Regions from separate parts of the Mus musculus genome. Here regions 1, 2, 3, 4, 6 and 7 are each reported to be linked to region 5. The links are microRNA targets in miRTarBase. Many come from high-throughput screens and were not tested one by one. Region 5 holds a microRNA gene; each other region holds the end of a gene's coding sequence. Distances are from middle to middle.

Region 1 (3,111 bases), not on the chromosome of region 5:
TTTAGATTATGAACATACAGTACCTAGAGTAGAGGGCTTTGGTTTGGCAGAGTAGGGAATACCTGTTAGAAGGCACACCTGTCTTGTTTTAATAGGAGCTAAACTGAGTGTCCCTCCCTCATTCACTTCCCCTACTTTTTACAGACATTGCTTTAGGGGTATTTGATGTGGTGGTGACAGACCCCTCATGCCCAGCCTCGGTGCTCAAGTGTGCTGAAGCCTTGCAACTGCCTGTGGTATCACAAGAATGGGTGATCCAGTGCCTCATTGTTGGGGAGAGAATTGGATTCAAGCAGCATCCAAAATATAAACATGATTATGTTTCTCACTAAAGATACTTGGTCTTACTGGTTTTATTCCCTGCTATTGTGGAGATTGTGTTTTAATCAGGTTTTAAGTGTGTCTTGTGTGTAATTGTATTCTTTGCATGGACCTTGTACATAGTTTTATTTGCTGGACTTTTATGATAAAATAAATGTTGAATCTCTTTGGTTGTAGTAACTGGGATGTCTTCATCTGTTTCTTTGAGCTTAATCTCAGAACATGATAAACATAGGATCTTCTCTGAAGTTGTCAGCAGGCTTGTCACTTTAGCAGTACAGCAAACAAAGGGAGATAAAAATAGAGGAGTGAGCTTTATTTTGTGGCATCACTGTCAAGGTTATCCCAGGCTACCTAAAATGTTATACTTCCAAAAACAGTTTAAAGTAGGTGAGGGCCTGGGTAAACAGTAGTGCTAAAGTTGAGTGGGACTGGGAACAGCTCTGGGTATCAGGAGTTTATTGACAGATGACCTGCTACTGGGAACATGAACATGACCAGTTGTTAATGAATGGACAGTGACTATAAATTTGCTGGGACGGTTTTCTATAAAATAAGCTGTCACAACTGTTGGAAGTTATTCCTTCCTCACACTCATCATCATCATCCCTGTTAGCGAACGGCTTCTCATTCTCTAAATAAAGCCAGCGGTCTCATTTTTTCTATAGTGCCAAATAGTAAATACTTTTAGGCTTTGTGACCACACTTGTCTGTCTCAACAACTTGTCTTGTCTGTGAGCAATCACCGACAATAGCTAAATTGAGTATGTGTGGCTGTTTGAATAGTACTTTATTTACAAAAACAAGCAGCAGGCTGTTATCTGCTTTTAGAGGTGAGGTAACAAGGTGGGATAATCCTCCTGGGTAGTTGACAAGTACGGGCTCAGGCTTTCATAGTGGTTGGTAGACAGTGTAGATGAAGAGAGGACTCAGTGACTACAGACTGAGGCCCGGATGTTTCATTCTTGTCCAGCTTGGAGGGAAAGATGTCAGTGAAGTGTTTTGTTTATGCTGATGAGAACATTAGTATGTTCTCAGCCCGTGGTGGCTAGGCTATCTGACCATAAAACCTTAACTCATGTGGCAGGTCTAAGGTGGGAAAACTGGGTTGCAGTGAAAACTAAATTGTTTCTAAATCTAAACAATTTGACCTCTATCCTCTTTAGCCAGAATTGCCCTTTTACTAGTCTGAAAGAATTAGAACTCACTGGCTCAATTCTTCAGATAAAGGATACTCAAATCTTAAATTTTAGGGAAGGATAAAGATAGTCTGTGTAGTTACAAGGTACAGAAAGAGGGAAAGCTCACAGGCTCTCTGAAGGGTTTTCTCATTTGGTGGTGACACAGAAGCTGACCTGTTCAGGAGCGTGATTCCGTTCTTACATGAGCCAACCCACTGTTTACTGTGGTTATCTTCCATAGGAATATAGTAAGTGTTCAATAAACCCCGGTTACACAAATGAACCCACCCAACAGATGTCTTCAAAATCCTTCGTGTGGTCAGCAGAGGGATATCAGACCCCAGTTCCCCTACAGGAATGGCAGGGAGGATTTTTATACCTCTGCATTTCTTCTAGAAGACCCTTTCAGCAGTCTGCAGGCATTTGATGAATGATTTGAGAGATTTGTTACAGACATCAGAATGTGGCAGGGCTGTTTCATTTTTTGAACCAGAGTTTTCTTTTACATCCCAAAACTATAAAAGAAAAAAAAAGTTTCATTAAATGCCATGCCTTCCAAAGAAACATGGCAATCTGAGATAGAGCTAACACCATGGCAACAACACAGCTCTCTTAAGAAGCCGACGATGACCACTGGATATCAGTATTAGATTTAAGGAAGTTTAGAAGAGAGCATGGCACCACAGCCACACTGCTGCTAGTACATGTCAGAGCAGGCAGTGGAAGCCAGACTGCCCCCAGAACATAGCAGTACATAGCCTAACACAGACCTTACCCTCAGCTTTAGTATTTTAATATGCTGATGAACTTCACTAGAAAATAAATTCCAGTAAAATTGTAGAACATGATCACCCTACTCCCATACCCCCAACCCCTTCCTGCATCTCTGAGCCTTGTTTATAAAATGAGGGTAATCTGGAGGTGATGGCCAGAGTTGCATTTTGGTCTTCTATTGTTCATTAACCCCCTCCTCCAAATCTAGTAAGTGCCCCATGAATTGTTCCTACCTGCCCAGAGTCCCACCAGCCTGGGTATAGTATTTATTATAGTCTAGCCGGAGCAGTAACTGAGCCAAATCTGAGTTGATCTGGTGATTCCGAACACTGGAAAGAATCTTGAACAGGAGTGAAGACTGGCGACTAAAGCCCTGTTGAGAGACCCGAGCTGTCAGTGACCAGGCTAGGGTACTGGGAACCAAGGGGGTCTTTGGAAAAGCTTTGCTTAAATGTTTGCAGGACCACCTGGCCTTCCCATATTCCCATTTCTATCAGCTCCTAACATGACTTCTTAGTACATGTCCGTGAGATGCATGACTCCCATGAAAGTGCTTTCTCGTTAGTAGGAATTTAACAGCTCATTTAAGATTAATATATTCCATCACATACTGGGATTGCAGTGATCCTGCTTTGTTACAAGGAGATAAATATAGTCTGAGATTATAATTATAAGTGAGATAGGAGGCTGGTTCAGGGAAGGAAGTGGGATGTGAGAAAATGAGCACAAAGCCAGTGCATACTTGGTGGGCTGAAGAAACTATTCAGGGCTGAACTATTTCTGAACACTGTGAGGCAGCACATTATATATTCACCGATACCAGCGCTTTTATCTT
Region 2 (3,134 bases), not on the chromosome of region 5:
TCGCTTGGGAAGAGGAAACCTCAGCTGAGAAAACGCCTCCACCAGATGGGCCTGTGGGCAAGCTTGTGTGGCATCCTCTTGATTAGTAGTTGCTGTGGGGGAGCCCAGTTCACTAGGGAAGGTACCACTCCCGGGTCCTGGGTACTATAGGGAAGTAAATGAAGCCACGAGAAGAAAGCCGGCCAGCACCACTCCTCCATGGCTTCTGCTTCGGGTTCTCCTCTGACTTCCCTCCCTTGGGGATGGAGTTATGTGTTTTATCGCAGCAATAAAAACCCCAGGACACAGCTAACTTGTTTTCTTTTGAGACAGCCTCAATATGATGTCTCAGCTGAACTCAAAGCTTAGACTCCTACCGTGCCTACCCACTTATCTTTAGCATTTGTTAGGGAAATAAATAGACCACCAAGCTTTTCTATTTTGCCCTAAGTGGCATACCACTGTAAATTGTAATTTTGTACTCCATAGGTGGGATTTGCCAAGACTAGCACATACCTGTAACGCCAGCACTCAGGAGGCTAAGGCACAGCTAAGTCAGTCTCAAACTCAGGGGTTAGGGAGGGGCATGGCTTTTGTCTTGAAGTCAAAATAAGTTGAAAACACCTTAAAAGCACAGGCCACAGGCATCAGAGAACTCTGCAGTACCATGGCGGAGGGAAGCCCCCCTCCTAGCTATCTGGACTCAGTCCCCACCTCTGCCACTTACTAACCTGTGAGTCTGGGTTCCATCCTCAGCTTCATAAACTAAAGGCAGGACTCTAAATCCTGTCTCCCTTATTGTTCATGCTGGGAGTTTTAAAGTTCTCTAACAATTGTGATCTACAGAAAGTTCCCACTTATGAAGACATTAAAATGCACCCACAGGAACCTAGCAAGGTAACGCATCTGGATTTACCACATGTGAGTGCACTGGCGGGTTTTAAACAGAGTATGACTGAAGAGGATAAAGGGCACAGGAATGGAGACAGTAACAATAGCAGCAAACTCTGATCCTTAGGGTCGAGTTCACAGGGAAGTACAGCTCAAATCCACTTCAACAGCCATGGAGGAAACCGGTCACATATGTAGAAACTGCTGCTGGAAACACTCAGTGGTTAAGGGGACTAAGTGTGGTTCCCAGACCCAAGTCAACCAACCACCTGTAACTTTAGCTCCTGGGGGGGGGGGACCCAACTCCTCTGGCTTCCCAGGACAGCTGTACCTCAAGTACAAATGCCCACCCCACATTTAAAAATAAATCTTAAAAAAGAAAAAAGAAATCAGAACCCAGAAGTTGCTGTGAGAATCAGGAAGAGGTTCCCTCCCACACCCTGTCAACATCTCCCAAGTTAAACAGTGGCAGCCCAGTCCTCGTGGGAGTCAGCCCCATGAGAGACCAGTGCAGCCTACTGGATCCTAGAATCCTGTATTTTCTATGCACTGACACTAACGTGTCATTAACAGCTCTTTGAAGTACCAATTTGTATTTTTTTACATGTATTTATTTGGGGTTTGGGTCTGGCCACCTCTCACACATGGAGGTCAGACAAGCACCTTTGACCACTGAACCATCCTGCCTACCCCTAATAAATTCCTGGTATTAAAATAGAGAGAGGCTAGAGAGATGACTAAGTGACTAGTGCTCTCAGAGAAACTAGGCTCAGTTCCCAGCATCTGCATGGTGGTTGACAACCACTTGTAACTCATTTCAAGGACTCCCAGGCCGTCTTCTGACTTCAGGCACCAGGAACATACAGGCAAACACTCATGCACATATATCTAAAAAAAACAAAAAACCAGGCTACTTCTCACTGACCCTGAAGCCCACCTATGTAACCAGGCTAGCTGTGACTAGTAACCACTTAGCCTTTCCAGTGCTGGAGTCAGGTGTGTATCATGTGCTAGGGGTCCAAGCTCAGGCCCTCACACTTATGTGGCGAGCACATCACTGACTGAGTCACTTCCTATCCCTCTGCCCCCCATGACGGCAGCCTGTTGCCCTGGCAGCCAATAAAACACCTAAGCCTTTGAGAGCTCTTCAATTCTGTGCACGCTTCAATATTCTGATTAACTTCCACATCTGTGTCAACTGTAAATTAAACCTAATACATACCTATGCTCATTTCCTGTTTACCAAAACAAAAAACCCTAACAAGACAGTTATGACATCTAACACTCACACTTAGGATAGGAAAATGCTACCCTATTAAGGCACCAGAGAGAGAGCTGTGGATGGTTAAACGTTACTTCAGAAATAAAAAGGTTGTCTAATGTAATAAGGGGTACTCATATTAAACTAAGTCAGAACTCTACCTTACAGTACTTCTACTCCAAATTAATGTTCAGTAAAAGCTATGCCTGACTGTGTGTGTGTGTGTGTGTATGCATAACTAAGATAATTACTTTATTAAACGGTAAAGTCAGTAATTGATTAGGCTGAAACAACTCTACAGAGGTACGACTGCTTCCGTGAGTAATTTCAAACAGGATATATACAGATCAGTAAGACATTAAGGGCTAAGTAACTGGATTTTTATTTTAATACACAGTATGAGAAATGAACTTGTAAATCAACTGAATTGTATGGAAAATGAAACAGTAAATAAATTAGACCCATGTTTAACACAGAAGGTCAGCTAATGTTCAAACTTAAGGCTATCATGGACAGGTCAATTCCACCAGTCTTCTTTAAAGGTTGAAGTCTTCCAAGTACAACTTTGCTATGAACTGGCCCAGAGTTCATCAGCAAATGGGAATGCTTAACAGGGGTGGTGATCGGGGACACGTTTCCTGTAAGGGGAAAAAAAAAAAACAACCCACACTATTAAGGAAAAGTAAACAATGACAAGTATGGTTTCAACTATATTTTCATTGACTACAAATACGGCGAGAACCTCTGTCTCAGTAGTCACTGCAGGCCCACTTCCCATGAGGACGGAACACCACACAATCACTGTCACTATTAGGAGGACACAGGACAATTCAGCAGTGTGCAGGCCTGTACTCAGCAGTTCGCAGTGCCTGACCCAAACAGCTACTCGATAAACAATACACTTCCCAAAACAGGCTAGCCTGGTTTTTGCTTTCTTTCCATCTTGTGAAGGTCACATCTTACCACACACCCTAAGACTAGACTTGAACTTGCAAGCATCCTG
Region 3 (3,134 bases), not on the chromosome of region 5:
CCTGTGGTACGCGCACTCACCCCTGAGAGACCAAAGACTCAAAGTGTTCATTCTGCAGGGAAAGTCTCACCGTGTCTGACTTCTTTACGTCCATAGTTTCTTTTTGGTGCAAGGAGGGAAGACACAAGGTGAGGGTGTTACTCTGAGCTCCAGCTCCAGCCCCAACAGCCCCAGGACAGTTTTTCCCTTAGTCATCAGTGTGTTATGTTGTGTGTTATGTTAGCATGTGCTGTTCTGCCTTCTCGAGAGGAGCATGTCTTCTGAGCCAAGGCTAGGTGCACTGGGATCCTCCAGAGAAACACATGTGACCTTTGCACGTCACAAAAGAACACACTGCACATGATGTCAGGCTTGGTTGATTTGCCCTTTATTAAGAAATCTGAATAGCTTTTGGTAATTCTACCATATAGAATAACACCAGTAGATAAAACACACACCAAGAGACATGTCTAGAGCTGGAGAACTTAACAGGAGGGCAGAGCTCACACTGCACACTTCCCAGGTGCAGGCTTCCTCCTTGGGTAGTGTTCATGAGAAGTAGTTACTATTACGAAACAGACAGGGCTCTTGAGATTATTGTATGAGCATCGGTCAGGTCCAAGGAACAACCACAGCAGTGGAGTTAAGGCAAAGATATTTTCTCTTGCTACAGAATATCCATAGATCTTAACATATTCCAACATGATTATACATGCATTTGGTTTAAAATGAAAAAAAAACAAGTATACAAATCACTATTGGATTCTTAAAAATAAACTTTACATCACTTTTCTTTTTGGCAGCACCAGCCTGAACTTTGCAATATTTCAGAAACTTCAGGTACATTACAGTCTTCTGAGAAAGGCCCAGTACTTCAGAATTCCCGGGGCAGCTGTGGAGAAAGAACATTACTGGCAACAAAAATTAAGACAGTTGAGAACCTATGGAAAGGTATGCAGCTGTTCATACACGTGCACACATACTCAGGTACTCAGGCGTCACTCATGCTATTGCTTGGCACGGCCTGCACACAGAGAGCTGGCAACCACACCTTCCCTGGGTCCCTGAGGGCTCCACACACACAGAGAGAGGCCTGCTGCTTCTTCCTCAGGGGCTTCTCCTTTTTTTTTTTTTTTTTTTGGTTTTTCGAGACAGGGTTTCTCTGTGTAGCCCTGGCTGTCCTGGAACTCACTCTGTAGACCAGGCTGGCCTTGAACTCAGAAATCCGCCTGCCTCTGCCTCCCAAAAGCTGGGATTAAAGGTGTGTGCCACCACTGTCCAGCTCCTCGGGGGCTTCTTGGGGGTTTCTTAAGCTTCAGAGATGCCTGGTCACAGTACGTTTAGGGAGAGGTTGAGTGTATTTTTCATTTGCATGGTCCTGCATGCTTAAGCAACGTGAATTGGCATAAAGGACTGGACACTGGACTGTGCAGAGCTTCTAGGGGTGCCTGCTGCCACATACTTTGAACTAAGGAGCTCTCATGGTCAGAATGTAGGGTTTGACTCACTAGAAAACCTTACAGAAGCCAAGCTGCAAATTTTAAATCACTCAATGACATAAGTATGCTCTTCTCTTTGGTTTCAAAAACAATAGTCACATGACAAACATTCTCAACTATGAAGCAGAGTTGACTGGGGTACCAAAGAAACCTCAACCTTAAAGAAGAAAGAAAGGAAGGAAGGAAGGAAGGAAGGAAGGAAGGAAGGAAGGAAGGAAGGAAGGAAGGAAGGAACTTCATGAGGTAGCGGTCAAATCCACAGCATACAACAATGAGCTCAGTGAATGCGTAGGCATTTTAAATCACAAATGGCTATGGAGTTTAATAACTGCCTTTCTTTCCAGTTCCTGCAGGTACATGCAAACCTGAGATGAGACCCCTGCAACAAGAGGCTAAGCCAGAGGCTAAAGTGTTTAAAAGCAGACAGGAGGTGGGCCAGACCTCTGGTATAGGGCTACTGAGTCTCAGGTCCACCCTGTCACCATACCATATCACCATGAAAGTCAAATGACGCTGGTCCCACGCAGAGCAGGCACCAGTGGAACTCAGGGCCATGACGGGCTGGCAAGTATACTTATCAAGTCCAAGACAGTGCTCAGAAAGCCCCTCCCTTGTTCCCACAGACATAAAACTCTCTAGGATTATGCCACTCTTCCTCAGGAGGGTCCTGTCCCTTCCTCTGTGCCATCTCAGAATCTGGAACACCACTGTTTCCAGCTGCCCACACCCTGAGCTCTCACTCAGCACAGGCATAAGCTGTTACTTGGTGAGTAGCTTTCCAGAGGCCAAGTTCAAATGACTTCCATGTGGACTGAACAATGTGACCATTGCAGTTCTGGCAGCGGGTGTTTATAACTTTCAGCACCATAAACACTCAGTGCCCACATGCAGAGACACATTTACATGTGTACTTGTTCACAATGCATACATTTGTAGGTATATATGCACACTCTTAGACACATACATGCACATCCACACGCCTGCACACATACGAGAAGTACACGGTGGCCGGGCAGCATCCCAGGCTGGGCAAGTTCAGGTGAGGAAAAGATGGGGCGAAGATGGGAGAGTGAAAAAGCCTGAGTAGGGCGGTATTCTGAGAAGGAGCCCTGAGTGCTCCACCTTGCTGCGACCTCCTCTCGTAGTCCTCAGAGGCAGGAGCCAGCACACCAGGCACACCAGCACATGGTAGGCAACCCAGAAGACCCGCAGCAGGAAGGCAGACACCAGCTCTCTCTGTTAGGTCTCTGTTGTGTAGTTATTGTAGGTGAGAGGAGGCAGGGTTGAGAAGCTGCTCCACCGCCTGCTGCTAGGCCGGGGCTCCATGCGCCCTTGCTCTTTATATTTACCCAGAATATTTTTGGCTTCTTCTGCATCCCGCAAAGGGTTCTCTCCATACTCTTCTCTCAGCCATTGCCGATACTGGAAAAGTTGGAAGGAAATCCCGAGCGTTACGCACACATGAATTCCCAGGGACTCTCACCTCTTAAGCAATGGTGAAGTTCCACATATGAACATGGAAATAAAAGGTCATTGGGCATCAATTACATCTTTGTGGTTGACAGCCAATAGCAAGCAAGAGAAATAGCTGCTCCTTTAACCAGCTGATATCTGAGCTCATGACTTGGAAATCTGTTGGCTATGCATCTACTTAGC
Region 4 (3,111 bases), not on the chromosome of region 5:
AAGATCACTTAAGCGGAAATTCGAACCATTTTGTTAATGATTGTCTTTTATCAAATGGCACCCATGTTTATAATAAGAAAATATCAGTGTGTCTCAAGTTAGCTAATTAATTAGCTAATACAAACAGAGTGATTAAAAGCTCCACAGACGATGGAGATGCCAATCTGTTAGAACGAGTGGATCTGAGACTAAAGTAATTTATGTCTCTGTCCCCAGGGCAAGCAAGCACTAGGTAAGCATTTACAGACCCGATTTGAATTCAGCAGCCTTTGAGATGCATTTGACCGAAAAGCATTTCTCACTAAATTAACTATTTTCCAAAACACACACCCCCTCACCCAATGAATATATTACCTTATCTCCAAGGACCAGCCTGGGGTCTATTTTTTTTTTTTTTTTCATTTGAGACAAGGTCTTGTTATATAGGCAAGGCTTTCCTGAAAATTACTATTTAGCCCCTGTTCTCCTCAAACTCACGGCAATCCTCCTGGCTCAGCATCCCATGTGCTGGGTTTACAGATGTATGCCATTACACTTGACTCCATCATATATATACTTTCAAAACTATTTTTTTCATTTTGCTTTAGAAAAATAGCATGCTCCTGTTTGCATGGGAATACTTAGTATCTTGGAAACAGAAATGCTGGTTTGAGTCCAATTAGTAATGTTTGATGCTGCCTTCATGACAGCATATGTATGTATGTATGTATGTATGTATGTATGTATGTATGTATACCCACAAATCAACAGTTACAGTCTTCAATAAACAGGGGCAAAATAAATGCATGTCAGGCACAAGGACTCAAGCATCTTTGGCTGTCAGGAAATTCCTGTCTTGGATAAATTCCCAAGCCATCCAGATCACTTCTGGGCAGCTTTGAAGGCCCTTGACACAAAGCTTGGGTTTAGTAGAGGGGATGACCAGGTCACTCTGGCTACTTTTGGGCAAGTGTTTTCCTATAAGTCTATGTTGCTCAATATTCTCATGTTCCATGAAGATATATGCAGGCAGAGAGAGCATCTCACTCTCCTTTCTGACCTTGGAGTCAGACTGGAGTCATTGATAAAGCATCCTCAATTGACCAGTGAGCATTACTCTCAAGGTTTTAGACCTAAGCCAAAAAATAAGTCCTTCTTCTGAGACAGCCCTTCCTCCAGGTCACCTCAGGCTGCTCATCTTCTTTCAGGTGTGGTTTCCCCTATGAAGAACCAGGGGAAGGCGACCTCACCTTTCCCTGTGTTCTCACTGAGACCTGTGATACTTCAAGAAGTTGAAGACAGAAAAAGTGGCCAATGTAAGTTGGCTTAGCAGAAGCTAGATAGTATACAACTTAGGTTTAGTAGGCAGTGGAGATGAATTTTCTAACAAATTATTACTCAACAAATTTTGATCAGCTACTACTTTCCCAGTCATTGTGTGGGAGTCACGCTGCCCAGCTCTGCTTCGAAGGTTTCCTAGAAGATGGCTCAGCAGTGGTTTGGGGCTAAGTTTACCCTCTGACTCCTTGTGGCATCTACCATGACACGAGCATTTGTAATAGAGACTATATAAAGGCTGCAAACCAAACTTGAAAGCAGATCTAGATAAACACCTCTGGATTTGATGACTGACACTTTGTTGTTGGTCTTCATAGTACATTGACTCCTGGCATGAATCAAGTGTTTCTACAGTGCTCCATTTCACTTGATGTCTGTCTTTAAATTCCTTCAGTGTCTCTATCAGCTGGTTAGCCTATACTGGACAACGATGGAGACAACATTCTCAGGAATGCTGTCTTTCAGGACTTGAAATTTTTCTTTAAAATTTTGTTTTTGTTTTTGTTTTACACTTATTTATTTAGTTACATGTGTGCATGCCACATCATTTGTATGGGGGTTTGAGGATAATTTGTGGGAACCAATTCTCTCCTTCCAGCTTTTGGGTTCTGGGAGGTCAAACCCAGGTGTCAGGCTTAATGACAAGCACCTTTACCCAAGAAACCACCTAGATGGCTGACTTGAAGTTATACTTTGGAAGTTATACATTTTGAGTGGTAGTTGATCAGGAAGTATGTATTGAGGATTCATTTAGTTTTTAAGAAAATTTGACTTTCTCTTCATGGTCCTGTGGGCTGAGTGCCCAGAGCATAGTAGGTACTCAATAAACATGTTCTCACAATAATAAAAGTGTTCTATGTTCCATGTGCATTTGGAATTCCCACTTGTATGTTTGGATACTAAAGGATGCAATCAGAAGAAAGGTGAGGTTTCTCCTTCACAGCAGAAAACCAATTCCTTTTAGGGAATATTCACGAGAAATACCATTTTTTCTTTTTTCTTGTCTTGTCTTGTCTTTTCTTGTCCCTTCCTTCCTTCCTTCCTTCCTTCCTTCCTTCCTTCCTTCCTTCCTTCCTTCCTTCCTTCCTTCCTTCCTTTCTTCTTTCTTATTTTTTAGGTTAGGCACAAAAGAATGTGGAAATGCATTGCCTCTTGGAGAAATAACATCATTTTCTCAGTCTTTCTTTGGATTCTGTCTTTAGCTCTTGATCTGGAGTAAGTTCATTGTCGAATTCAGCTCTAACTGAACTGCTGAATTCAGAAAGGACTTGGACAGAGGGCACTGTGGAAAGGTTCTGTCCTGAAATCAGTAGATTGTGCCATTGGATGAGGCGTGTTTCAATTTTTAAAACCCAGCAGGTCTCTATCAAACATGAGCTGTACTGGGTTTTCCATTTACTATTTTAGTCCATAAGGCATATACGGATCAATATTGGGTTCCTAAATTATATAGCTAAACCACTGTCCCCTTCCCTGATCCCTCTAAAGCCCCTGTTTATAGATCCATATGAGAAAAGGAAATTGGAAAGTAGGAGGCAGGGGAGCCCCTTGGAATGATGGTTTTCTCCTCCTTATAGCAAGAAAGCTCCAAAGAAAGTTTTATCTTCTTTTGTGTAATCCACCAAGGAGATGTCACTGACGTTTACCATTAGTCTGTCTCCTTCTTCCAAGGAGAACGTGGCCCCAAGGTAGAGGGACTGGAACCAGTTGTTGCTTATTTCACACACAGACTTGGACCCTGTTAGTAGGCGGGCAGGCTCAGGGTAGCTGTCTGCTACCTTGGTGATAACCATG
Region 5 (3,134 bases):
TCCAATGCTATACCAAAAGTCCCCCATATCCACCCACCCCCAATCCCCTGCCCACCCACTCCCCCATTTTGGCCCTGGTGTTCCCCTGTACTGGGGCATATAAAGTTTGCAAGTCCAATGGGCCTCTCTTTCCAGTGATGGCCGACTAGGCCATCTTTTGATATATATGCAGCTAGAGTCAAGAGCTCCGGGGTACTGGTTAGTTCATAATGTTGTTCCACCTATAGGGTTGCAGATCCCTTTAGCTCCTTGGCTACTTTCTCTAGCTCCTCCATTGGGAGCCCTATGATCCATCCATTAGCTGACTGTGAGCATCCACTTCTGTGTTTGCTAGGCCCCGGCATAGTCTCACAAGAGACAGCTACATCTGGGTCCTTTCAATAAAATCTTGCTAGTGTATGCAATGGTGTCAGCGTTTGGATGCTGATTATGGGGTGGATCCCTGGATATGGCAGTCTCTACATTGTCCATCCTTTCATCTCAGCTCCAAACTTTGTCTCTGTAACTCCTTCCATGGGTGTTTTGTTCCCAAATCTAAGGAGGGGCATAGTGTCCACACTGGGATTAAAGGAGTATATCAGCACTCCTGTCAAAAATTTTTAATTAAAAATAGATTGGTTGATTGCACATGGGTGTTTTCCTGCATTTTTGTATGTCTGTTCAGCACCTGCATGCCTGGCACATGTAGAGGATAGAAGAGAGCATGTGTCCCCTAAAACTGGAGTCAAAAATAATTGTGAGTTACTTTGAGTGCTGTAAGTTGAACAAAGGTCTTCTAGAAGAGCAGCCAATGCTTTAACTAATGAGTCATCTCTCCTGATCCAGATTTTATTTCATTTTTTATTATGCATATACTGTGGGAGCTTGTGTATGGATCTGTACACACAAATGCAGTGCTCTCATTAGCCAGAAGAGGGCACAAGAAACCCTAGAGCTCCAAGCTTAATGGCAGGATTGTAGAAAATATATAGATTAGTCTAATTTACACAATGAATTCCCATCCAGCCAGAGTTACATGGGTAGACCCTGTCTCAAACAAATAATTATGTATGCTGAACAACCTCCAAATTGACTAGAGTGAATACCTTAAATTGATTCAGTAGCTAAAAGGGTTTGTCAGGTCCATCTCTTTATTCTGCCCCAAAGGAAGAAACATAAGCAGTCCCGTTGACAATTTAGCTGGGCACTGGAGAGATGGATGGCTTTGTGGTTCAGAACATTGGCTGCTCTCTTCGAAGCACCTGGGTTCCATATCCTGTACTGACATCAGGTGGCTAAAACCATCTTTAACTCTACTTCAGAGAAACCAACATCCTCTTGATCATCTTGAAGCACCTGCATGCTGTAGTACACATACAAACACAAGCAAATACATACATGTATGCATAATATATACATGCAATATGCATACATGCACATGCACATGCACACATACATACATACATACATATTCTTTAAATTTAGCTCTAGGGCCTGGCATGGTGGGACATGCTGTTAATGCCACCTCTGTGAGACTGTGGCCAGGCAATTCTACATAGCAAGTTCCAGACTAGTCAGCTTCATAGTGATACCCTTTCTCAAAAACAAATCAATTAGCTTTTGCACATGCATGCACTTGAGAAATTGAAGTAGGAGGGTCAGGAGTTTGGGGTTCATCCAGGCCTACATGAGATCTCCACCAAAAAACAAAATCACTTTAGCCAAAATGATTAAATTGTGAGGTGTGCAACAGTATATATGACACACAAAGATGCATGAGCTTATGTACAGGAAGAGAGCAGAAAGGACACTGAGTGGCCTGCTCTATCATTCTCTGCTTTTTCCCCAGGCAGGATCTCTCACTGTACTTAGAATGGGGCCCCAGTGTTCTTCTGTTTCTGTTCAATAGCACTGGGGATATTGGGCAGCACATACTTTTTCATGTGGGTGTTGGGAAGCTGGACACAAGTCCCTAGCTTGTGCAACAAGTGCTCTTACCCACTGAGCCACCAGGAAATATGTAGTAGATTTTTTTTTAAATTTAATATCAAAGCGAAAAAGTCTGCATGATTAAAACTAAAGCCCTCGTAGCATGGTGGTATATATCTCAGCTGAAGACAGAAGAAAGACTGTAAAACTCGAGGCCAGCATGAGCTATCTAGTAAGTTCTAGACTACCCAGAACTACCTTGTAAAACTACATTGCAAAACACAAAGACAGTGAAATAATCCATTATCAAGTATTGCAGAGAAACCCAGCTTTCCAGCGTGGAAGTGGAAAGAGCCATCTGGGACAAAGTCTGCATAAAAAGACGACTGCACAAAACATGGGGAGCAGATTTTCTAGCTTGCTCTTGCTGCAGGGGGCCTTCCTAGAGGAAACCAATTGTTCCTTCTCCATGGAGAAACTCAGATCCATGAAAGTGGGGCAACGTGACTCTGTAATCTTATATTATCCATATTTCATGATACAGGAAGGACTATGTGCCTCATAGACCTAAATTAACACGAACAAAGAAGAGATTAGAAATTGCTTCTCCCTTGCTATGGAAAGAGACAGCATTTCACAGGGCCATTTATTGTCACAGTAACAAATGTTAACTTTGGAACTGGAGAGATAGCTCAGCGGTTAAGAGTACTGACTGCTCTTCCAGAGGTCCTGAGTTCAAATCCTAGCAACCAAATGGTGGCTCACAAACATCTGAAATGAGATCTGATGCACTTTTCTGGTGTGTCTGAAGACAGCTACAGATATGTATATTGTATATATATTGTGAGGTGTGCAACAGTATATATGACACACGCAGATGCATGAGCTTATGTACAGGAAGAGAGCAGAAAGGACACTGAGCGGCCTGCTCTATCATTCTCTGCTTTTTCCCCAGGCAGGATCTCTCACTGTACTTGGAACGGGGACCCAGTGTTATTCTGTTTCTGTTCAATAGCACTGGGGATATTGGGCAGCACATACTTTTTCATGTATGTAATACATGAAATACAGATATATTATTATACATAATAAATATATAAATCATTTACAAAACAAAAATATAAATAAATAAGCAAATGTTAACATTGAAAGTATTTGTAAGTTAAAACACTTGAATATTGCTGGGCATGGTGGTGCACACCGATAATCCCAGCACTCAGAAGGCA
Region 6 (3,000 bases), 56 Mb from region 5:
CATCTGCCTGTTAGAGAAGAGGACACAGAAAAGGATCCAGGAATAATAATCAACTCCCAGTGCTCTGCTCTCGTTGACTTCTGTCCTCTAGCTATGTCCCACCTCCTGGAGATTCCACAGCACTCACCAAGGCAGTACCATCATTCAGGCACAGAATATTCTAATCGGGTGCCTGACAGGACCATTGCATACTCAGACCATAACATTACCGCCTTGTAAAGAGTTTTGGAAAAGACCAAGTGGGTGAGACACCACAGGAAGGGACAGATGACACTTGAGAATCTCGGTCAGTCCTTTGACTGTAAGATCCACAGTAGACCCTTCCTCAGACAATGCCTTCCCTCACATCCCTCCCTCTCCAATGCTTTGTACCTCTGTAACGTTCTCTTTTCTCTGTCATTTTAGGACAGCCCAGAACCCTGCAGGACCTGTGCCGAATTAAAATTCGACAGTGTATAGGCCTTCAAAACCTGAAGCTGCTTGATGAGCTACCAATTGCCAAGGTCATGAAAGACTACTTAAAACACAAATTTGATGATATCTGATACACCTGGACTGTGGACAAGATTACGAGTTATTCCAGATACTTAAAAGGCTTCAGGCCTTGCACAAAGTATATCCTATGCAATTTCTGATTTGCGGTCAAGTCAGAAAGCAGGTATACACTTTTAGGTTTATGTTTGTTTGGATTTCATTTGGGGGAGGGATCTGTGTGTGTGTGTGTGTGTGTGTGTGTGTGTGTGTGTGTGTCTACACTCACACATACACACCCCACGCTTGAAGGTCTTAATTTGGTTTCTTGGTCCAAGTCGATGAGGTCCAAGCCTTTCTATACAATACTGCATTTAGAAAATTTGTTTTTCCTAAGTGCACAATATAGACAGGTTTGAAGCAGAGAATTTTCCCTTTTGATGCTCTGGTTTCATTGGTGAACACGGTACTAGGAACCAGTAGACGGAATACTTCTTAAAGTTTGGAGGTCTCAGGCTCACCTCCTGTGATCCTGGGTGATGCTGGAAAATTCTCTGTGAAGAAACTTACAGTAATGCTGTCGCCTCATTCATTTTTAATGAGTACAGATGAGCTGTTTAAAAATCCTTTTTCCCTTCTAATTAATGTAGCTTTCCGATGAAAAAAACCAACCCAGGACCTCGGCTTCCTTTGGTGTGCGCTTTTTTTTTAAATTATTTTTTTTAACAACTGTAAGACACTACCCTGAAACATTGTGTTTCAACTCCCCCACCCCCTCTCTTATTGAATTGTGCTTTTAAAACAAAATCAATGGGGAAAGGAATTAACTTTTTAAAGCCAGTGTATTCTGTTTTTTAAAAAACAAAACAAAAACAAAAAATGGTGCCTCTTGTGCAACTCTCTTGGTGTCGTCTCTGGATGGTTTGCTCTTCCTGTTCTTCAGTTGGCTTCCTTGTGCCCCTTGGAGCCATCATCACCACCTCCATCCCACAGCAGGCCACCAGGATCACCTCAGTTTCCACCTTAAACTTTGTGTTTTATTTCACCTTAAAGAACAAATTTCATATTCTGGTGATGACAGAGGTCCCTAGAAATAGCCCACATTCTTGCTAAACCATTCTACTTTAATGACTAAATATTTCAGGGTGGTTTCTTGGTGGATTTTTTTGCCTTCCTGGTAATATGTATACATATATATTTTAAGGGGAAAGTCTCTAATGGGCACCCTTTTGTAAGCCTGGCAAATTGCTGATACGCTAATTAAGTATTTCCTGTCTATTTTGAAGGTGAGTACAGTAAAGCTCTTCAAGACAAATATTTTAATTTTCTGGGTTGGTTGGACAAGTATGTGCAAGAAAGACCCGGATGTAGTAAAGTGTTAGTAACAAGGGGGAGGGCCCAGAGGCCCTAGGCATCATGGGTGTTCCTGGGGACACACACTCACTGCTTCATTTGACGTTATGTTAGTTTGAAGACACCCCCTTTTAAGTTCCCCATGCCATTCTTAGTGCTGTGACAAATTTTTTAAATATTTATAAACTGTTAATAAATTTGCTATCAAAAGGTTGCAGGATAAGGGCTTCTCCTTTCTTGTCAGAATTGCCAGTTTGAAGGCATAGAGGGTAAAGTCTTCCCCTCCTAACATAATTAAGCAGAATTAGGTTTCCCTGAGTTCAGGCTAGCAGTGTTGTTCACTCAAGCCCAAAGCTTGCCGTCTTGGCCAGAGTAGCTGTGACCGCAGAACATTGGGTTTGCGTGTGCCTAGGTGGCACAGGGATTCCTGAACAGGCAAAAGGATGCTTCAGGGACTTGCTGATGTGGCCCATAGCCTCCTTCAGGGAGAGCATGAGGCCAGAGTGATAGCTGGGACCCAGGAAGATAGGGATGGCTGTGGTGACCCTGGCTGAAAGGTTACCTCCATGGAGAGTCCCCTTCTAAGGCACCTGCAAAGCTGTGTTCTCAGTCTTTATTCAGGCCCCAGGTCAGGGCTGGAGACACACTACCAGCCTTAGGGACACAAAGTGACCAGAAATTAGTTGAGTGTAACTTGTGTTAGAGCCCCAGCCCAGCATGGAAAGTGGTGGGAGGAGAGCTGAGAGTCTGGACTCTGAGCTGCCATATTAGTGTCCAGTTGCACAGGAATCATACATGAAAATTAATTTATTTTGTAAGTTAAAAGTGACATTCACTTTCCAGCCATTCAGAGGGTTCTGAACTAAGCCACTGAAATCGAATTGAATCAGGGGATCCCAAATAAAAAGATCATATTAAGGCAAATTCTTTGTGCTGTTTACTGCTGTGACTTCAGAAAAAAAAACAAAAAACAAAAAAACAAAAACAATTCTGAGTGCTCTTCCAGGAATTGAAAATTCTATTTAATGAAGAAGTGTATAATTCCATTATTTATTGTTTGTGGTTTGATTTATCTGGAAGCTTGAGAGAATGTCCTTTGTTTATACTAGACCCCAGTCCTGTGCTGTATTCTATGGTAACGGAAGGGCTGTCCAGTTGCTGATGTGGTTGTGGTGA
Region 7 (3,134 bases), not on the chromosome of region 5:
CTGTTAAAAGCGCATTTGAGTTAAGTCATTATTGTATTTGTTCAAGCATGTGTGTCAGGCCCCTTACTTGGTAATGCAAATTGTTAGTGGTAATATTAACAATGCTTGTATCTCCCTCTTCCCCCCGTTCCAGGATCCTGATGCCTTTTGTGAAGACCTGCCTAATGGTCTTGCCTTCCGTGCAGACAATATGGAAGAGTGTGACAGACGTTGTCATTGGCCCATTGTGTACAAGTGTGGGCCGCAGCTTCTCATCGGTCAGCATGCAACTGAGCCACGACTGACCACTCAGACCCTGGGCAGGTCCAGACATTTGGATACTGTACAACTTTATTGATGCAACAAACTCACTACTGTTCTGTTCACTTCCCAACTGTTAAAATTATTCTTAAAATGGAACCCAGATTTATCGAAGTTCACTGTCAGATCTTTAAAAATAATGATTTTTCTCACCAAAAGCCAAGTTATATCTAATTATATAACAAGAATTGGCAACACCCAATGTAAGAACAGATATCTTTAGGAAAAAACATACAATTGCAGTGATGACTTGATAATGGTCAAAGGGCAACTTCCTCAGACATTAGAGTAATTTTGTGCATAACTGCTCATAAAGAGTAAGGAATTTCTTATTTTCTTTTCCTCTAGGAGTAATGTTCTTGAAGCTACTTTTACAGATATGGTCATAAGGCTAGCTAGAGGCAATACATTCCAACATTCTAGGAACTTTGTACATTAACAAAAGTATATACTTATGATAATAACTATTGAATAGTAAGAGAGATAAATGTGAAAATGTGTTCCTCTGTGATATTATTAGCCTGCAAGCCTATTTAACAAGATGTTTTGTTTTTCTGTATATTGTATACCTAATGCAAGTGTTACTCTAATGAAATCGCTTTGGAGTGTGTTTCTCTTGTGTTTGCTATTGTACTAATCTCATTATATAAAGTAAGCAGAGCTACCATAGGGTAACTTTCTTTGTAAGACTGTGATGTCCTATAGGAGAATGTTGATAGATTCTTTGGAATGCAGTGTAAAATGTGCTGTCTAGGTGTTCTCTCCAACTTACCCAGCAAATGTTTTATGACTGGGCTTCATCTGGCTGTGACCATAAGACATGTAGACATGTAGTTGTTTTGTTTACTATAAGTTTTCTTCTGAATGGTTAGAAACTTATTCTGTATTCTACATTCCTATGAATGCTTCACTTACTTTCAAGTAATTCTGGTGCTAGTTAATAATATTTTTTATGATAAAGGCTGTGTCTAACATCTAAGCACATTTTTTTTTTTACTACAGTGGTTCATATAGAGAAACTTACAGGAGAATTAACAATTGTGAGGGTTTATAAAACTGAAGTACATGTGTAAATTAGAAACTAACATTACAAATTTTCAAGATGTTCTCTAGTATGAATCTTAAAACCTATAAAACATTATTTCCTTACTCAGTATGGTCTTTTAAAAATTGGTATGTTAAAAAATTTCTACATTATAATTACATAATATTTCAAATTTCAGAATTATTATCAAACCCTGAATGAGCATTTGCTCGAATATGCTCATGGGTGTCAAATCTTCACTGAAAGAAGATAAATTTTTTTCAATTTTTCAATTCTGGTCATTATTATAGGTCATTGAACTGGGATTCTATTGCAGACCAGGTCAAAATATCATATTAAGAGACTAAGTGATAAAACTCATATCAATTTGATGGTAATCATAAAAGAAACATTTCAAAACAGCCTTAGGGTATTGTACCATCCTCAGTAAACGAAGTCATAGCTTGGTAATAGCCACAAGCATCGCCATTAATGTGACTGTCAAGATTGTATCACACTAGTTTCCAAGGTCAGTCTCATGCTTTATATTATTTTTGTAATTTAAGTTTTAAATGCCTGGGTGTATTGATTAGTCAAAACTTTAACAATAAAATATCAGTTTAATAAATTATAAGCTTCAACCTTTTAAAATAGTTCTGACAGATTTTAAGACAAATATGTATAATTATATATAAAAATCTTTAATTTTTAATATATATGATTTCCTTTTCCTAAATAGTATTGATTACTTTCAACTGAACTTTTACTGAAACTTTTCATGAATTATTTTGTCTCAAAAACTCAAATTGTGGATAAAAGGAATCAAAGTTAAATATGCAAATATGTTGATTTTGGGGGCAGGGCAATTGGAAGTCAGAGGCAAAGAAATTCCCTTATTATCCATAATAAACATCTCTAAAAACAGTGGATGATTTCATTGATTCTATTATAGTTTGTCTTTCTGCTGCTTATGTCGTACATCTGGTACTCAGGAACAAGAACCTTTTCAAATAAAGTTTCTTAAAATCTCAAATAACAAGGACACGAGTTGCTGTTCCAAGATGTATCTGTCAGGATGAAGAGATGGGTAAATGGTTATGGTACTTGCCATACAAGCAAATTAGAGTTTTGGATTCCCAGAACCCAGATAGAAGCCATGCAAACTTGGCAGTCCATTTTTAGCTCCATCATTCCAAAAACAGAGATGGGATCTCCAGGGCCAGCTGGCCGACTAGTCATATCCACAAGCTCCGAGGTCAGCTGAGAAATCTTGCCTCAGCCAACAAGGTGAATAGTAATAGAAGACTTCTGACATCAAACCCCAGACCTCTGCATGCATACAGCTGAGTGCACAACCACGTACACAAGTGTGTGCACACAGGAGAGAATGTGGACGCACACACTGCAAATGCACATGAGGAAAAAGAATGTTGTCCTGAAGAATTATGAGACTGATCGTTTAGTTCTCTGTTTTCCTAGCACTTGAAGAGATTCTGCATAAATGTTCCTGTCATTTGATAACTAATATGTGGTGGCTTGCTCACAAACCAACCACGCTCGAGCTTTGTAAAGTTTCATGTTGCTAATCCTAAATAAACTGATGCCTCTATTTCTAAGTCTTAAATATGAAAGTGATACCATTATAACTCACATACTAAAATACCTTGTATCCCAAAGCCAGATTTCTCCAAAATTATTTTTGGAGAGTAAGTGTGTGAGGAACAACTGTTGATATTGGCACAGACTTTCTTGTGGTCAATTAATCTGTTAATAAATCAGATATTTGGCTGCTTTCGAATGTTCTTTATAG

Evidence for each region. Region 5 holds the annotated microRNA mmu-miR-297a-5p (AUGUAUGUGUGCAUGUGCAUGU, at 1,416-1,437, opposite strand). A microRNA usually pairs through its seed, bases 2 to 8, with sites in the 3' UTR of a target mRNA and lowers its output. Matches are read on the target gene's strand: a 7mer-m8 pairs with bases 2 to 8, a 7mer-A1 pairs with bases 2 to 7 and ends in A, and an 8mer does both.
Region 1: the mRNA of Trp53bp1 is a reported target of mmu-miR-297a-5p. The part of its 3' UTR that is shown has no 7-base or 8-base seed match.
Region 2: miRTarBase lists Cct2 as a target of mmu-miR-297a-5p. Seed matches in the 3' UTR shown: 7mer-A1 at 2,559-2,565.
Region 3: miRTarBase lists Dusp22 as a target of mmu-miR-297a-5p. Seed matches in the 3' UTR shown: 7mer-A1 at 577-583.
Region 4: the mRNA of Tnfsf15 is a reported target of mmu-miR-297a-5p. Seed matches in the 3' UTR shown: 8mer at 2,202-2,209, 7mer-A1 at 1,866-1,872, 7mer-m8 at 726-732, 7mer-m8 at 722-728, 7mer-m8 at 718-724, 7mer-m8 at 714-720 and 5 more.
Region 6: the mRNA of Asb7 is a reported target of mmu-miR-297a-5p. Seed matches in the 3' UTR shown: 7mer-m8 at 761-767.
Region 7: the mRNA of Cav2 is a reported target of mmu-miR-297a-5p. Seed matches in the 3' UTR shown: 8mer at 530-537.

Annotation. Positions count from the first base shown.
Region 1 is chr2:121,195,641-121,198,751 of GRCm38, reverse strand. Trp53bp1 (transformation related protein 53 binding protein 1) reads left to right here. Exons shown (of 28, transcript NM_013735.4): 28 at 145-3,111. The coding sequence ends at 332. Tubgcp4 (tubulin, gamma complex associated protein 4) reads right to left here. Exons shown (of 18, transcript NM_153387.3): 17 at 2,510-2,649; 18 at 1-2,017. The coding sequence ends at 2,005. Among named protein-coding and RNA genes, the nearest start is that of Tubgcp4, 26 kb to the right of the region's middle.
Region 2 is chr10:117,048,508-117,051,641 of GRCm38, forward strand. Cct2 (chaperonin containing Tcp1, subunit 2 (beta)) reads right to left here. Exons shown (of 16, transcript NM_007636.3): 16 at 2,490-2,769. The coding sequence ends at 2,739. Among named protein-coding and RNA genes, the nearest start is that of Lrrc10, 4.7 kb to the left of the region's middle.
Region 3 is chr13:30,708,443-30,711,576 of GRCm38, reverse strand. It overlaps Dusp22 (dual specificity phosphatase 22), which reads right to left. Exons shown (of 7, transcript NM_001037955.4): 7 at 345-2,900. The coding sequence ends at 2,718. Among named protein-coding and RNA genes, the nearest start is that of Irf4, 39 kb to the left of the region's middle.
Region 4 is chr4:63,726,701-63,729,811 of GRCm38, forward strand. Tnfsf15 (tumor necrosis factor (ligand) superfamily, member 15) reads right to left here. Exons shown (of 4, transcript NM_177371.4): 4 at 1-3,111. The coding sequence ends at 2,889. The region is part of intron 1 of Gm42294 (a long non-coding RNA gene); the gene reads left to right. Among named protein-coding and RNA genes, the nearest start is that of Tnfsf15, 17 kb to the right of the region's middle.
Region 5 is chr7:10,957,062-10,960,195 of GRCm38, forward strand. Mir297-1 (microRNA 297-1) reads right to left here and starts at 1,451; the gene lies at 1,376-1,451.
Region 6 is chr7:66,645,331-66,648,330 of GRCm38, reverse strand. It overlaps Asb7 (ankyrin repeat and SOCS box-containing 7), which reads left to right. Exons shown (of 6, transcript NM_080443.2): 6 at 406-3,000. The coding sequence ends at 545. Among named protein-coding and RNA genes, the nearest start is that of Asb7, 43 kb to the left of the region's middle.
Region 7 is chr6:17,286,764-17,289,897 of GRCm38, forward strand. Cav2 (caveolin 2) reads left to right here. Exons shown (of 3, transcript NM_016900.4): 3 at 134-2,367. The coding sequence ends at 284. Among named protein-coding and RNA genes, the nearest start is that of Cav2, 7.1 kb to the left of the region's middle.